2 linked regions of the Lonchura striata genome follow. The protein of the gene in region 2 purifies or fractionates together with the protein of the main gene of each other region. This does not show direct contact. Links are inferred from orthologs where the notes say so. Each region holds a gene or a part of one and is shown on either strand. Other genes may lie near its edges.

Evidence for each region. The genes of interacting proteins can lie anywhere in the genome.
Region 1: the proteins of LIN28A (region 2) and LARP1 purify together in Homo sapiens (affinity purification with mass spectrometry; 5 studies listed by BioGRID and IntAct, with this or other methods). This does not show direct contact. The link is inferred for Lonchura striata from reciprocal best matches to the Homo sapiens genes LIN28A and LARP1.

The regions. Positions count from the first base shown.
Region 1 is NC_134617.1:5,182,498-5,189,997, reverse strand, and holds the start of LARP1 (la-related protein 1), read left to right. Parts: upstream 1-4,487; 5' UTR 4,488-4,566; coding exon 4,567-4,909; intron 4,910-7,500. UniProt on the Homo sapiens protein: RNA-binding protein that regulates the translation of specific target mRNA species downstream of the mTORC1 complex, in function of growth signals and nutrient availability.
Region 2 is NC_134628.1:323,271-331,034, reverse strand, and holds the start of LIN28A (protein lin-28 homolog A), read left to right. Parts: upstream 1-4,759; coding exon 4,760-4,790; intron 4,791-5,601; coding exon 5,602-5,780; intron 5,781-7,764. UniProt on the Homo sapiens protein: RNA-binding protein that inhibits processing of pre-let-7 miRNAs and regulates translation of mRNAs that control developmental timing, pluripotency and metabolism.

The sequences.
Region 1 (7,500 bases), on a different chromosome or scaffold from region 2:
CCAGCAGCTTTGGGAGCTGGTTCCTACCCCAGGCGTGGCAGAGTGCCCTGAGAGCACAGTGCCTTTGGCTGGGCTGCAGCACCAACCCACCAAGCCCCTGGGCTGTGGAGCCCTGCTAAGTGAAAGCACTTTTTGATGGGGATGGAATGGAACTCGTTAGTGTCTGCTGTTTTATTACACAGGTTGAAAATTACTTATTGGTGGGAATGCGCTCACTCTTCACGCTGATCCTTCATATGCTTTGCTGGAAGGGTCCAAGTGAATTAATCTCAGAGCCAGGGAGTGTCTTCCATCTCTCTGGATCACATGGCTGCAGATAGATATGGGGCTGTCTGGAGCACTCAGTGTGTTCTCACCCCTGTGCCCTGGCAGCAGAAGTGCAGGAGCTGAGATATCTGCTCTGGCTGTGCTTTGTGCTTTAGTGCATGGTCCCTCACTCCACAGCAGGGTTGGAAGCTCTGGGGTTAAAAACATGGGGCAAGGAGAGGCTAAAATATGGTTAAACTGGGGGATGTTGGCACTCACTTTGGCAGAAACCTGCAGGAATGGGCACTTTCTTCTGGTTGTGAGCTAAAGCAGGTTGAAATGTGGATATTTTGAGTAGTAGAAAAAAAGGTTTGGGTGTTTAATTTTAAAAGTACTCAAGTGCTTTGTGATGGCCACTATGTGCCACTAATAGGTGTCTGCTGGTTGGAGGCACTTGCCATGGCAGAGTCACAAGGATTTGCTGGCAGCCTGCCCTCAGCCCCACTCACCAATGGCACAGCAAATTGGGACGGGAATTTGGGCTTCCACTGTTTTGTGGGAAAGAATATCACCCAGACTTAAAAGGTGGGGTCAGATTACCCTGGTGAAGAATTTCAGGGCAAGCTGAGTATTTTTCAGTGGGAAACTGTCAGGTTTTCTGAAATTAAAAATTCCCATTTCAATGTGAGGGTTGTAACTGTTGGCCCAGAGTCCTGAGAATGGTTCTGCACCAACATACCATCCTCTTCTCAGAGCGAAGACGCTTCTCTTCTAGGAATGAGCTGTGGGTGTCCTTTGAAAAGCTTTTCCCTGTGGGCACCAGCAGTTGGATGGTCAGACTGCTTTTGCAAGTCCATTGGAAGCAGGACTTTGACATCCCTCAGGGGCAGTTGGGTTTGCTGGAGGGCAGCATTGCAGGGCTGCTGCAGGAAAGTCAGCCCAACCTTGTGTGCATTGTCCCTGACAATGTTTCTGCCTGGCAGGGTTCATGGAGCAATAACAACCACATAAATAAGTCAAAGCATATGACTCAGGATAGGAAGCTTGGACTTTCCTGGAACAATCCTCTTTTGCACAGCGTTAAAGATGCCTGAGCCTTAATATTCTGCCATCCACGTGTAAAGCTTGGGCATCTCACCAGGGAACAGCGTGACCAGCACTGGCAGCAGGCAAACTGGTCTGGAGGTGCTGGGAAAAGAAAATTCCCTTGGGAAGCACACATCACATCTGAGCTGACTGCGAGGTCTGCACAGCCCTGGATGCAGGGAAAGGAGGTGTGATCAGGAGTGTGCTGCAGATGCTGAGCAGCACTCAGGACCTGACTAGAGCAAAGGTGAAACTGTAGGAAAGAAACTCTTTTAACGGTGACCTCGTGGCCACAGTGCTGGACAAAATTAGGCAAGTGGAACCTGAGAAAGGGGCTGAGCTACCAGCCAAACAGGATAGTGAAGTTAAGGAGCATATCAGTCACATCGGCTGCTTTGTGCTCCGCCATGCACAGGCCTTGCTCCAGGCCACTGAACTAAAGCTGTTCCCAAAGGGAAGGTTGGGCCTCTAGGTGAGCTTGCCAGACCAGCAGAAATGAAGCTGGGGATTTTCCAGCCAAGCAAGACCCAGAGATGCTCAGAGGCATTAATGGCCACCGTCAAAGCATCTTTAAACCTCCAGGCCAGCACCAAAGCAGCCGGCTGTCTGTGATAAATATGCAAGCCACGCTTCAGTCGGGGAGAAATAAATAAGCTGTTGTACAGGGAGCAAGGGAGGTGGGGAGCTCCTGCCCAAATCACTGCTCAGCAGAGGAGTTTCCCTGGAGACTGCTTCCTCAGAGCCTGCGCAGGGCCAGCACAGGGCCGGGAGGCAGCACCCAGAGCTGCTTGATGTGGTCTGGGCAGGCACAGGGACACATCTGGGGTGAAGGATGAGGCAGAGAAGCAGGACTGGGGATGCCAATCAGGTGCTTTTGTTGCATTTGGGGAAAGCAGAGATGGATTACTTCCCAGTGAATTGTGCTGCAGAAATGTGGAGACTCCTTGGCTGCCTCTCAGCAAGCCCCTGGAGGGAGGAGCAGAATATCCAAGTGGACGCTGGGCAGAGCAGGGGAAGGTGGGTCCAGCAGAGGTGAGGACACCAAGGGAGGAGTGGAGCACACGGAGCTTGCTGGGCATGGCCAGCGTGTTTACAGCAGCTGGAGGTGGTGCACACCCAGCTTCCCTGGCCATGGATGGGTGTTTGAGAGCTGACCTGCCAAGGTGATGCTCCCTATAGCTGATTCAAGAAACTTGTACGGACACCTCTCTTCCCCCCTCACCCTTGCTCATGCATTTATTTTCTAACTCCGAAAACCTGCCTGGGTTTGGGCTGGCTGGGCACTGCATGAGGGTGAGACTCATCCAGCTCCCTCCTGCCTGGCAGCTCTGGAGCCAGTTTGGCTCTTGGCCACCGCGGGCTCGTTCCTGCTCACGTGGCAGCAGAGCAGCGTCCCACAGGGAGCGAGCTGGAACTCTGCACCCTGGCTGGGGGACAGGTGAGGGACACCAACGGCCTGCAGGTCCCCTGGCTGCAGCCACCTTCCTCACCCAGCTGTGCTCCCCATGCCAGGACCTGCTCCTAGAGAGGGTGTAGGTGGGAGAATGGCTGGAAGCTGTGCAGCTCCAAGTCACACTCATGAGGAGCCCCCAGCATGTCAGGGACCGGGCACAGGAGCACAGGATGTGGCTTGGGTTACTGCAGCTCAGGTATTCAGCCAGCCAGGCCAGCAAGCCTCTCTTCTGAAGTTATATTTAAAGTTCCTTTTGGAATTTTAGTGGCCAAATTATTGAATGATTTGGGATAACTGCTGGTGATCCCTAAGGCTGTGGCACAGGAGGGTATTTTTTGAGCCAAGAGCTTGGGTACCAGGGCACATAGAGAGCAGAGATGGTCTCAGTGGAGCATCCCTGACAGCCTGGGACTCCCTCTATGGATCCACCATGATGCTGCTGCCCTTCCAAATGTTGTGCTGAGCTCATGTTTGTTTCTCACTTTCTTCTTTCCTTCCAACAGTGAAATCAGCTTTTCATCCTTCTCCACGCATCAGCAGCTGGCAGCTACATCTTCAGTGCCTTGTCATGCTGACGGGTCTCCTGCAGGGATTGCATAGATGTGTCCCTGGGGCTGCAGGACATGCTGGGACTTCCAGATGAACCTTTCCAGGCAGAAGCAGAGTGGTGTGCTCGCTGTGATGAGGAAAGAGGCTGGGAGAAGCTTGCATTTAATAAAAAAGGCATCAAGTAAGGGCTGCTGTGAACTAGGCAGGTTGTGCTAAATGGTATTGGCAGTGCAAGCTGCCTTTTAAATGTGTATAATTCATGTGCGCAAACACACACGGTCTGCAGTCGCTGTCTTGCTGCCTGCAAGAATTGAGGACAAATACCAGGAATATTAAATGATGGTGATGAGCAAGTGACATTCTATCAGCTAGAGAGCAATTAAATATTTTAGCCTATTCAAACAAAGGTTTTGCTGGGCACAGGAGATGAGAAGTGGTCTCTCGCTCATCAATGTGCATAAATATCTAAAGGGAGGAGCCAAGCACATGGAGCAGGGCTCTTTTCGGTGGTACTGAGCAATAGGACACATGCAATAGGCAAAAATTGATGCACAGGAAATTCCACCTGGATATAAAGAAGAACTTATTTACTGTGCAGTGACCCGCACTGGAACAGAGAGTAGAGAGGCTGCGGGGTCTCCCTCACTGGTGATGATCAAGAACCGTCCGGATGCCAATCCTGTGCCATGTGCTCTGGGACAACCCCTGTTTTTACAGAGAGGTGGGACCAGCCGGCCCAACCCGGCCGTTTCTGTGGTTCCGTGATTCCCCAGGACACGCACCGAGTCCCTTGCTGCACTTTCCAACCACGTTATCCCCAGGCGTGGGTGACCGAGAGCATCCCTACCCCTCGGCTCCGGGCTGATGCCGGCCGGGGCTCGGGGGCTCCACCGGCGCGTCCGTTCCCGTACTCCCCGAGCCGGCAGCGGTTCCCCCGGCCCCAACGCGGCCTCTCCGAGCCGGGCGGCGGGTCCGGGCTGTCGGGAAGGGGCCGGAGCGCTTTAAACCCCCCGGTTCCCTCCCTCAAGCCCGGCCCAGCCGGGCGTTGCATCAGGCCCGTGCGCGCCGCCGGCCGCCCCGCGGGGGCGCGCCCCGCGCCGCCCCTCCCCTCGCCGGCGGCGCGCACGGGCGGGCGGTGCGCGCCCCCGCGGCAGTCGCGTGGTCCCCGCGCGGCTCCATATTGCGGCGGCACCGGGGTCGGGGGGTTCCCGGCGGGGCTCGGGGGCGCGCAGATGGCGACGCAGGTGGAGGCGCTGCTGCCCGGCACGGCCCCGCTGCTGCCCGCCGAGGAGCGCGCCCTGGTGCTGAAGCCGCCGCAGGACGGCGGCCGGGAGAAGGGCGAGCCGCCCATGGGCCCCGACGGCGGGCCGGCGGCGCCGAGGCCGCCCAGCGCCAAGCAGCAGAAGGAGGAGAGCAACAACCAGGAGAAGGAGAGCCTGCTGAGGGCCGGCGGCGAGGCGGAGGACGGCGGCGAGGCGGGCGGCGCGGGGCGCCGGGAGTTCATCGAGGCCCCGCCGCCCAAGGTGAACCCCTGGACGAAGAACGCGCCGGCCGTGAACGGGCAGTCGCCTCCCGGTGGGTGCTCGGGGGTCGCCGGGAGCGGGGCGGGGGGGCCCGGCCGCGCCGCCGACCGCGCCCCGGGCGGCCGCGCCATGCGGCACACGCGGCGTGGGGCCGCGCCCGCGGCCTGCGGGGCCCGGCGGGGCGGGGGGGCGGCGGCGCGGCCGCGGCCACGAGGCGGGGGGAGCAGCGCGGCCCGGCCATGCGGCGGCGGGCGGAGGGGCCGGCGGCCCGGCGGCGGCGGTGGTGGTGGCGGGCGGGCCCGGCGGCGGACACGCGGCCCCCCCTCCCCTCCCGCTCCCGGCATTCCGCCGCAGCAGCGCCGGCAACGTGGTCGGTTCCCGGCGTGCGGCTCCCCCGGGAGCGCGGCCCCGCCGCCCCCGCGGGGGCCTGGCCCGGGCCGCGGCCTGCGCTGCCCACGTGTGCGCGGCCGCGGCTCCCCGCGCAGGCCGCGCCGCCTTTCTCTGCCGACTCATGGCGGCGGGGCCGCGGCGAGCGCCGCTCTGCCCGGCGCGGGCGCTGCCCCGGGCTGCGGGCGCGGCGCAGAACGGGGGTCCCCGAAAAGGGAAGCGGAGGGGCTGCGCTGTCCAAATCGCGCTTGGAACCCGCTGCTGTCGTCAGCAAAGGCTGAAGCTGCAGAACACCATTTCCTCGCCTGTCGGGATGGGTGTTGCGCTCCTCTCGTACCTGCTTCAAGTGAATCGGGAGTAGGGGAAAACCGCAGAAGTTTTCACTAAGCGTCTTGTTTGGGAAAGACTTAATCTTTTTCTACCTGTCTCTGTTAGCTCTGAAATCACGCTGCCATATGTGCCGTCAGATTCCCAATTACTGTACATGCCAGTGTTTTGTAAGAACTGTTACTACCTAGCATGGTGATTCATCCGAGTTATTGATCTTTGGGAGATGGACAGCTCTGCAATTTCTACCTGGAAAGCTGTCATCTTAATTGGAAGTTAAGAGGACAAGTTAATCGTGCCAGGTAGAAGTCTGTGTTTGGATTGTTTGGTTTGTCGTTGTAGTCATGGACATAAGCAAAGCTTAAGGAAATCCAGGGTAGCGTTGGTGTTTGCATTCACCTCGTGCGTTATGACACAAAACTGGTCACATCGCTCCTTTGTGTGAAGGTTACACTCTATTGTGATGACTTCTGAGATAACGATCCCGAGAAATAAACCAAAAAAACGCAAAACTGCAAGGTTGAGTGTTCCTGTTTGAGTCTCCTGTGTAAAGAGTGCCCAGATTCATTACCAGCCTCATCCGTTGCAAACGTGTGTGATTTGTCAGAGTCAGCAGCAACGATGCAGCTGCCCAACACAAGCAGGGGGCCTTTGCAACTCCTGGGATGATTATTTGAGGGAGAGAGTGAGGCTGTGTCATTAGCGTGTCCACGCAGTTGTAGGGTAAGGGAGTAATGCGGCAGCGCTCAAAATTGTCCTTGGGCCCAGCACAGTTGTCTCTGTATTCCCAGAGGTGTTTAAAAATTGAATTTGTTAGTGGTGTGTTCTGGGACGCTTGGTGGCAGCAACTGGTTCCAGCAGTGCCCCCAGTGCTGCTGCCTGCTTCTCCTCTCTTGGGCCATTGTTTCTTTTGCTGCGTGTTCATTAGCAGAAGAGAAAACGTGTAAAATAAACACTGCTGGTGAGCTCCCACGAGAGGCAGGCTGGCAGCTGACCTTGCCTGGCAGCCCTGCACCCAGGTGCCTTCTTGTAGAGTTTGCAGGCTCATACTGTGTCTTCATTCCATTGGGTGGAGGATTTGTTTTGGCAGACACTTGACAAAAAAGATCTGGAGCGTGAATTTGTGTGAAAGAATCGGTTGGTAAGGTGAGTTGCCCTGTTGTGATGTTGTAGTGACCTCCAGGAGGATGACCCAAGGAAAGCCACTCTTTTTCTATGCTTGAAGTGAATTGAGAGCTTCTGAACTCTGGAAAGTCACTACTGTAAGTCTTTGGGTTTTTAGCAGAGCTTAACAAGGCCTTTGCTCATAATCCAGCAGTGTTCCCAGTGCAATGCTTGTGTGCTGGAGATACTAAATGTTTGCAGCCCTGATCCACCAGAGGTAGTGAGGAGACCAGAGAGCGTAGTGAAGACAGGCCTGTAAAGATAAAGGGATCCTTCTGTGACTTGTTTTACAGGCTTTGAAAGCCCTAATTTTTTTATAATGATTATATTAATTATAGACCCACAGAGCAGATTTAATGGACAAGACCTTCTCCTTAGGTGTCCCTGCATTCTGCAATGGCCTGCGTTGGCATTGGTGCTTGAAAAATAAAAGCATTGAGCTCAGGGAAAACAGCTGCCTGCAAGATCTTGGTGGGTTTCTGCTGTCCATGTTGGACTATGGATAGGGAAGAGCTTAACACCACCTCCAGGTGGTCGAAATACCAGCTTGTTTTGAACTGTTTGACTCGCCACTGCTGGGCTAGTTGAGTGCATTTGGGGCCTGACACAGGGACTGAAGAACAGGATCGTTTTCTCATGGATTAGGATTTACCTTTAGAAGTTTGTGCCATGCCTACCTGCTGCAGTATTTTTATGCTCAAAGTTGGCAGTGAAGGCTGTAATATAATGGGATGTTCGAGCAAACATTTCTGCTTTTTCAGGAAG
Region 2 (7,764 bases):
GGGCGGTGTCGGTGCGTGTGTTCGGTGTGTTCGGTGTGTGCCAGCGTGTGCCAGGCTGTGCCAGGGTGGGTGTCCGCGCCGAGCCGGCGGGAGCTCTCTTCCATCCCCGCGCCGGCCGGGCAGCGCTCCATCAGCGCTGGGGAGGGTCCCCCGCAGCAAACCAGTTCCCCAGGCACCGGAGAAACTGGAGGGACACCGGGGCGAGCCTGGGCTTTGAGTCACTGTGTGCGAAGGGAGGGACGCGGCACGCTGGGGCCGGGCGGGGTCGGGCTCAGCCGCAGCTCCCGGGAGGGAGACGGGGCCGGGGGCAGCCCCGCAGCCCCGAGCCCTCCCCGGGCTGCAGGGGGGTCAGAAAGGACCCCCCATGAGCCGTGTCCCTCCCCCGGGTGACACCGGCCGTCCCTGGGGGGACCGGGGGGCTCCGCTCTGCCCGCAGCTGCAATGCGTTCCCAGCTCCGCGCTGGGGCGGGGCGGCCCCGCTGCAGTTTGGAGGCAATGAGGGCTCGGGGCTCGGGAGGGATCAGCCAGCTCAGCTCCCTTGGGATCACCCTGAGCAGGACTTGGAAGGAGGTTCTCCAGCAGCCCAGGAAAGATGGAACCCCTGTTTGCCGGGCCACCAGTGATAGGAGGAAGATGCAGGAGAGGCGATGCTTTGGGAGGTGAGATTCAGCTGCCTTTCCTCAATATCCTGCTGTGCCCTCCTGGCTCCCCCAAACCACGTTTCTCCCCCACTGCCTGGATTTCCTCTTGGGGGAGTGAGGTTTGAACGGGGCTGGGGGGATTTAAGGGGCAAGGGCAGACTTGTGAGCTCTGGTCTGGGGGGATCTGCAGCCTCTGAGGAATATCCTTCAGCTATCGATCCCCCTTTATCAGGCAGCAGGAATATGCATGGGCTGAAATCCTGATCAATCCCCGCTCTGCAGCCGATCAATCAGCTGCTGCCCCAGGGCTTTTATCGAAGGGAGCTGCCGAATTTGGGCACAATCCACCGCTCCAGGCCAGGGGCAGGACCGTCTCTATCCTCCTGTGCCCCGTGCCCTGCGGGGGAAGCCTGGCCGCAGGCAGCGCCCTGCAGGGCACCCTCGGGAGCTCTCCTCACCCTCCCTGCCAGGTGCCAGTGCCCCGGGCAGCCGCATCTGGGACGGAGCGGGATGGCCCCAGAGCTGTGGGACACCCAGGGCCGGAGAGAAGCCCCAGGGGAGCATTTTTGGAGGGCTGGGAAGGCGCTGCCTGGTGAGGACACCCTCGGGGAGCACGCCTGTGCCAGTGTCCCCCCGGCCCGGGTTCCCAGCGCTGGGAGCATCCCGCGGGGCGAGCAGGGGGTGCGGGGGGGAGGAGCAGCTCCGTGGCCTCCTTTATTGATTGCCTGGCAGCCAAAGGTCAGCAGCGAGCGTGGCAGGGTGGGAGGAGGGCGCTGGGGTGTGAGGGGCTCGCTGCCAGCCCCGGGGCGAGTGCCAGCCTTGGGCAGGGCGCGGTGGAGCGCTCAGCATGGGCACCCACCGCGCCCCCTCGTGCCTCAGTTTCCCCGCCAGCAGATGGGCTGGCAGGACTGGAGGGTGGCCACCAGGCTCCTGGGCTGGCTGGGTGGGGAAGGAGGTGGAGGGGGCTGGAGGGAAGGGTCTGTGCCCACAGGAGGGGGTGGAGGTGGGCCCGGCCGGCGTTGGAGGAGGTTTGTGCAGCCAGGAGGGCTGTGCCTGCGGGGCGGGCAGGCAGACGGAACATTTTCCTTCCTCAGGAGCTCGGAGGCTGCTCTTGGGCTGGCCAGCGATGGCAGCGACAGCGCTGCGAGATGGCGCTGGAGCCTCAGCCCAGATAAGATCATTTTCCACGGCACTTCAGGACCCCGCAGGGACTTGCAGCACCCTGGGGACACCGGTCCCGATTTCTGCCAGCGCTGTGACCCACGTGCCCGGGTGCTGCCCAGCCCCAGGGCTCCTCCTGCCGGGTCAGGGCTCCGGTGGAGCCCCGGGGCAGCTCCGTGGCTCCGGCCCAGGGACAGCAGCGCCGGCACTGGGCTCACAGAGCTGCTGCCCTCGCCCCGGCCGTGCCGAGGGGGAAGATTTACAGGCTGTCAGAGCCGGGGCCAGAGGTCAGCAGGGGTCAGAAAGTCCATTTCAGTGAGGTCACTGTCCACTTCTTTCAATCTAATGAAGCCATTATTTGTGAAAGCGGCCGCTTTGCCGGCTATTCCCTTGAAGCCGAGCAGGGCACAGCGACCGGCTCTGAAAGAACAGGAAGGAGTCCCCTTCCCTTCCCTTCCGCGTTTGCCATTCAACAGGCCCCGAAAACAAATACACCACACACAGAAATACGACACGGGGCCGGCGCTGCCGGGCCGGGCCGGCGGCGGGGAAGGGTGGGATGGAAAGGGATGGAAGCGCCCTGATCGGGGACGTGGCTGCATCGCGGGGCTGCAAAGCCACTGAGGACGGGCAGAAATCGGGGCGCGCTGAGGAAGTCGCTGCTGCCAGCAAAAAGTTACAGGGAAATGCCTCCGGGGCTGCTGGTCGCTCCTGTCCGTCAGGAAGGGCTGCAGGGGGAGGCTGGTGCAGGGTGTGGATGATTTTCTGAAGGATTCCTTGTGGAGAAAGCGAGAAAGGGCTCATTCCTCACCACATCCTTCCCCCGTGCCCTCCCCAAATCCCGAGTGAAACGGGGAAAACTGGGCAGGAGACGGGATGGAAGCAGGGGTAAGAGGAAGGGGCTGGAGCCTTTTGGGGGGGGTGGGTTATTTTCTCCCCTCCTGCCCCAGTTATCGCCCAGCCGAGAGGAAAACGGGGATGGATGCGCAAGCCCTGCAGCCAGGAGAGGGGGCCAGACGCGCTCCTGCTCCCGGGATGTCCCGGGATGGTCCCGGGATGTCCCGGAGCACCACCCGAGCTGGCGCGGGGTGCCAGCAGAGAGGGGGAGCAGGGACAGGGACAGGCACCGCGGTTTCCTTCTTGCCAGGACTGCCACCAGCCCCGTCCCGGAGCGGGAGTTCTGCGGCGGCCAGAGCCCGGTCAGGGACGGGAGAGGGGATCCCATAGGAAACCCTGGCCGGACCCGTCCCTCCTTCTGCTGCAGGTGAGGTGCTGCTCCTCGGCTTTGGGGAATCGGCTCAGGACCGACCATGAGAGACCAGCGGAGACTCCTGGCAGCCCGTTAAGGGCGGTGTGAAGGTGAGGGACACGCTGTGCCAGCGGCTGGGGGTGAGAGGTGACACCTCCCGCTCTGCCTGTGCCCGTGGGACACGGACCCACCGGCACCGCGAGTCCTGGCGGGCTGGGGCGCTCCCAGCAGCTCACTTGGGTGCCTCCACCGAGAAAAACCATCCTCTTCCTCCTCTTCCTCCTCTTCCTCCTCTTCCTCCTCTTCCTCCTCTTCCTCCTCTTCCTCCTCTTCCTCCTCTTCCTCCTGCTTTGCCGTCCGCCAGTGGGGTCCAGCGGGGCTGCTCGGCTCTGTGGGGAAGGGGCAACGAGGAGGCCGCGGTGTGCGGGGCAGGAGCAGGAGGAGGGAGAGGAAGAGCAGGAGGAGGGAGAGGAAGAGCAGGAGGAGGGAGAGGAAGAGCAGGAGGAGGAAGGGCAGCGCCAGGACCCTGGACAGGGCCGCCGCTTCAGCACCACGGCCAGCGGCAGCGGCGCCGCGGGCGGCGGGGGCTTCGCGCGGGGATTCCCCACGCGGGGATTCCCCACGCGGGATTCCCCACGCGGGATTCCACCGGCAGCACCGGCCCGGCCCCGGGCCGCCCCGCGGGTGACACCGCGGTCCCCGTGGCCGCGCCCCGCCAAACCGCGCGCTGCTCGGTGACACCACGCGGGACCGGCCGCGCGTGGGGCGGCCGCGGTGGGCGCAGACGCCGCCCCCGGCCCCCGCTGCCCCCGCCGGGCCGGTCTGGGGGCACAGCCCGGGCGGGGCGGCGGGCGGCGCTGTGCCCCCGCGGCCGGGGCATTGTCCGCCGCCGGAAATGGAGCCGCTGGTCACTCGCCCTTTGTCCCCGCCCGGCCCGGGGGGCGCCGGGCCCCGGCCCCGCCCCGGCCCCGCTCCCCGCGCCGGGGCCGCCGGGCCGGGGGAAGCGCGGCGCATCCCGGGGGGCGCACGGTGCCGGGACGCGGGATGGGGCTGGGGGCGCAGGAAGAGCCCGGGGTCCCGGGAAGCCGCCCCCTCCCCCGTGCCGTTCCCCGTCCCAGCGGGTCGCGGCTCGCAGGTGGCTCCGCTCGTGGGGAGGGGGCGCGGACTAACGACGTGGCAGCTCCCGCCGGTGTCCGGGGGTCCCACCTCCAGCCCCCCTCCCCGGGTGTCACCTCCTGCCTTGACAGGTGGCCTCGCCCCCAAGTGCCCTAAGTGTGGGGGGGTCAGCCCACACAGCCCCCCCCGCTGCAAATCCCTCCCGGAATGTGTCGCTATTAGCGGGGGGGTTAATTAGGATCACGTGGGGACGGGATGGCGGAGCAGGGCCCGGCGCCCCCCGGCCCCGCGGGTGGGTCCTGGGGGGGGGCGGGGGCTGCTATTGTCTGCGAGAATTTGGGAGCCTTTGAAAAAACCCTCCCGCTCCCTCCCACCCCTATTGTTGGAGTGAAGATGGAGTCAAACCTCTCCCGGCTCCCTCCCGGCGGGGTCTAAGCTGGGGTTTTTTGTTGGTTTTTTTTTCCTCCTTTTTTTTTTTTTTCTTTTTTTTTTTTTTTTTTTTTGGCTGGCCTGATACCCTCAAAGCTGGCCGAGGAGGAGGAGGGAGGAGGCGGTAACAGCCACAACTCGGAATTTGCAAGCGAGTGTCGGGATGGGGTCTGTTTCCAACCAGCAGTTTGCAGGTTAAGTTATATTATTGTCGCAGCCCGCCTCGGCTCCGCGATTATTAATAACGAGGGCAGAGCCCGGCTGGGGGGCGCAGGGCCCCCCCGACCCCGGCCCACCCAGTCCCGCTGAGCCCCGGCAGCGCGGCCGGGCCCGCCGGGCCCCTCTGCCCCGCGCAGCGCTGGGGGTCGCAGGGGGGATTTATTGGGGTTTTTTATTCCCCCCTCCAGCCCCAGGATGACCCCAGAAGTTTGGGGCCGCTGGCGGCTGCTGGGGGTGTTTGGGAGCGGGGGTGGGACGGTGCAAGGGGGGGATGCTGACGGCGAGGGAGAGTTTCTCCAGCATGGCTTGCTGGGGGCAGCGGGGTTTCGGGTTGGGATTTTGGGGGAGTTTTTTGCCCTTTTTTAAAGTTCTGTTTTAATATTTTGATTTTTAGAAAAAAAAATATTTTGGCTATTTTTCCGTTGCTCGATTGGTCTTTTTGTGTGTGTCTGGGATTTTTAATTTTTTTTTTTTCGTTTTTAAGGTTTTTGAGGGAGAAACGGATTTAGAGCTCCCACTGCACGCACTGCCTGGGTCGTGCTGGCAGCAGCCGCCTTCGTTTCCTGGGGTGATCCCCGTGCACACGTGGAGGCAGAGCTCACCTCTCCGATGTTTTTTTTTTTTGGGGGGGGCGGTTGGGGATTTTTTTTTTGCGTTTTCCAGCCTGCACGGGGCACCCCGAGCAGGGTTGGGGGTTCCTGTGCCGGCCGGGTGCGGGGCGGCTGGGCCGGGGGCAGCCGCGGCTGCCGCAGCCCCGGCTCAGCGGCTCCGCGGGTCTCTCGCCAGGTGCGAAGCCGGGCGAGGAGCCGGCCGGAGACTCGCCCAAGGCGGAGAACGAGTCCCAGCCCCTGCACGGCTCCGGCATCTGTAAGTGGTTCAACGTCCGCATGGGCTTCGGCTTCCTCTCCATGACCGCCAAGGGCGGCGCGACCCTGGACTCGCCCGTCGATGTCTTCGTGCACCAGGTAGGGCCCGAGCCGCGGGCGCTGCGGAGGGCCGGGGTGCGCTCCGGGGCACGGAGGAGGGATGGGGTCCCCCCTGCCGCCGCAGCCGCGCTCCCCGGGCGGCGGGGCGGGCAGGCACGGCCGCGGCCGGGCTCCTCTCCGCGGACCGGCCCTGTGAGGCGATCCCGGGCGATCTCATTTTGCCGTCGTTGTTGGCTGAGGAGCCCCTCGGGGCCGGGGGCGCAGGTGACGCCGCTCAGCCCGCGGAGGGACCCGGGGAGCGGGCGGCGTGAGCCCGGGAGCCCCGGCCTGGCCGGGACGCGGCACCGGGAGCTCTCCCGCTGGAGCTCATCCCGGCACCGGGCATCCCTGCCCGCGCCCTTTGTCCCAGCCGCGGGTGGCACAAAGGCGTCGGGTTTGCGTCCCCGCGGATCTGTGACAGCGACAGTCCCGTGTCCGGATCTGACCTTGCCGAGCGGGGAAGCCCCACGCGTGTCGGGGGCCCCGCACCCTGGGAAGTCGTGGATTAGGGGCTGAAGTTCCTCGAACGCCCCGGATCTCGGGGGAGGATCCGCCGGGGCTGGGGGAAGGGGTTTGGACACGGTGCCCGAACCGGGGCCAGCGCCGGGAGGGGATGCGGGGCTCAGCGCCGGCTCGTGCGGACGGGGCTCTGTGTGCTGCCCCTCACCTCGGGACTGCCGTGGGGCTGGGGGGCAGAGCGAGCACGAACCAAGGGGGCACGGGTGTTTTTGGAGCAAACACGGGGGGTTGTACGCGTGATCGAGAGCAGCACCGTGGCGCTGGCTCCGGGGAGTCCCGGGACCAGCCGCCTGCAGTGGCCGCTGCTCTTCAGGGGCCCAAAGCCCCCCAAAATGGGTCCATCCCCTGGGCTGGGGGTGCAGGACCGAGCTCCTGGGCTGTGAGAGCTCCTGGAGCTCCCGGGGGTCGCTCACTCCCTGCCCTTGAGCGAGGCCTCCAGGCAGGACTGGAAGGAAATGATGGCCGGGGGAGATGCCAATCCCTTCTCCCTTGGCTGTGGCATGGGCAAAGCGCCTTGGTAGGAGCTGCTATCCCCCGGCACAGCTGGTTTTGGAGTCAAGGGCTCCAAATCAGCCAGGGGAAAACAGATCCTGGTGTTCTCCAGAGAGCAAATGGGCCTTTGCATCTCAATGCGGCACAGCGGGACCCAGCGCTCCCGGGGAGAGCCTCCCGCCCTGCTCCCGGGGCTTTATTGCCCCCAGACAGTCTGGTTTCCTGATTGCTCCCGCTCACATTCCTGCAGGGGAAGGGAATTAGCTGGGGTGTCTCTGTCGGGAGCATCCCACTGCCCTGCAGCCTCTCGGTGCCCCCCGGTTTCTAGGGTCGGGGGAGATCCCAGAGATTGCAGCGTTTGGGAGCTCTGGGGAAAAGCGGCTTTTTCTGGGGAGCAGAGGGGTGCGGGAGGCTCCCGGCGGCAGCAAAGGGCTTTGCCCCACCAGAAGCTTTGGGCTGCTGGAGAATTCTCCTGTGACTCGGGTTTCGCCCCCTGCTCCTCTCACTGGTGGCACAGAGTCTCTGCTCTCCTGCAGGAACAGCCGGAGCCGCTCCCGGCGTCTCTCCCTCCGCAGAGCATCTCCTTGCAGAGGGAGCAGCTCGTGCTCCCGCCGCGGCCTCGCTGCTTTTGGGTGGCTTGCGGGGAATCGGGTCCTTGTCCCGGTGCTGTCCCCACCCCGAGCACCAGGGCGCTTCTCCGGAGCCCGCTCCGCTCCCGGGGAGGGAGTCGGGGCTGCGAGGGCAAAAGCCACCAAAAGCCGGGGGGGACGAGGCTCAGGACTCCTGTGCCCTGCCCAGCACCCAGCGCCCCAAAGCAGCTTTGGGGCTTAACACTCCAGAGCCCCTCAAAACCCGCTCCTTCCCCTCTTCATTTACATATGTGAATGATGACCCACAGGAAGTAATTGTAGGAGAAAGAAGGGAATTGGCCTCTTTAGATCTATTAAATCACTTTATTACAGGAACCAGGTCT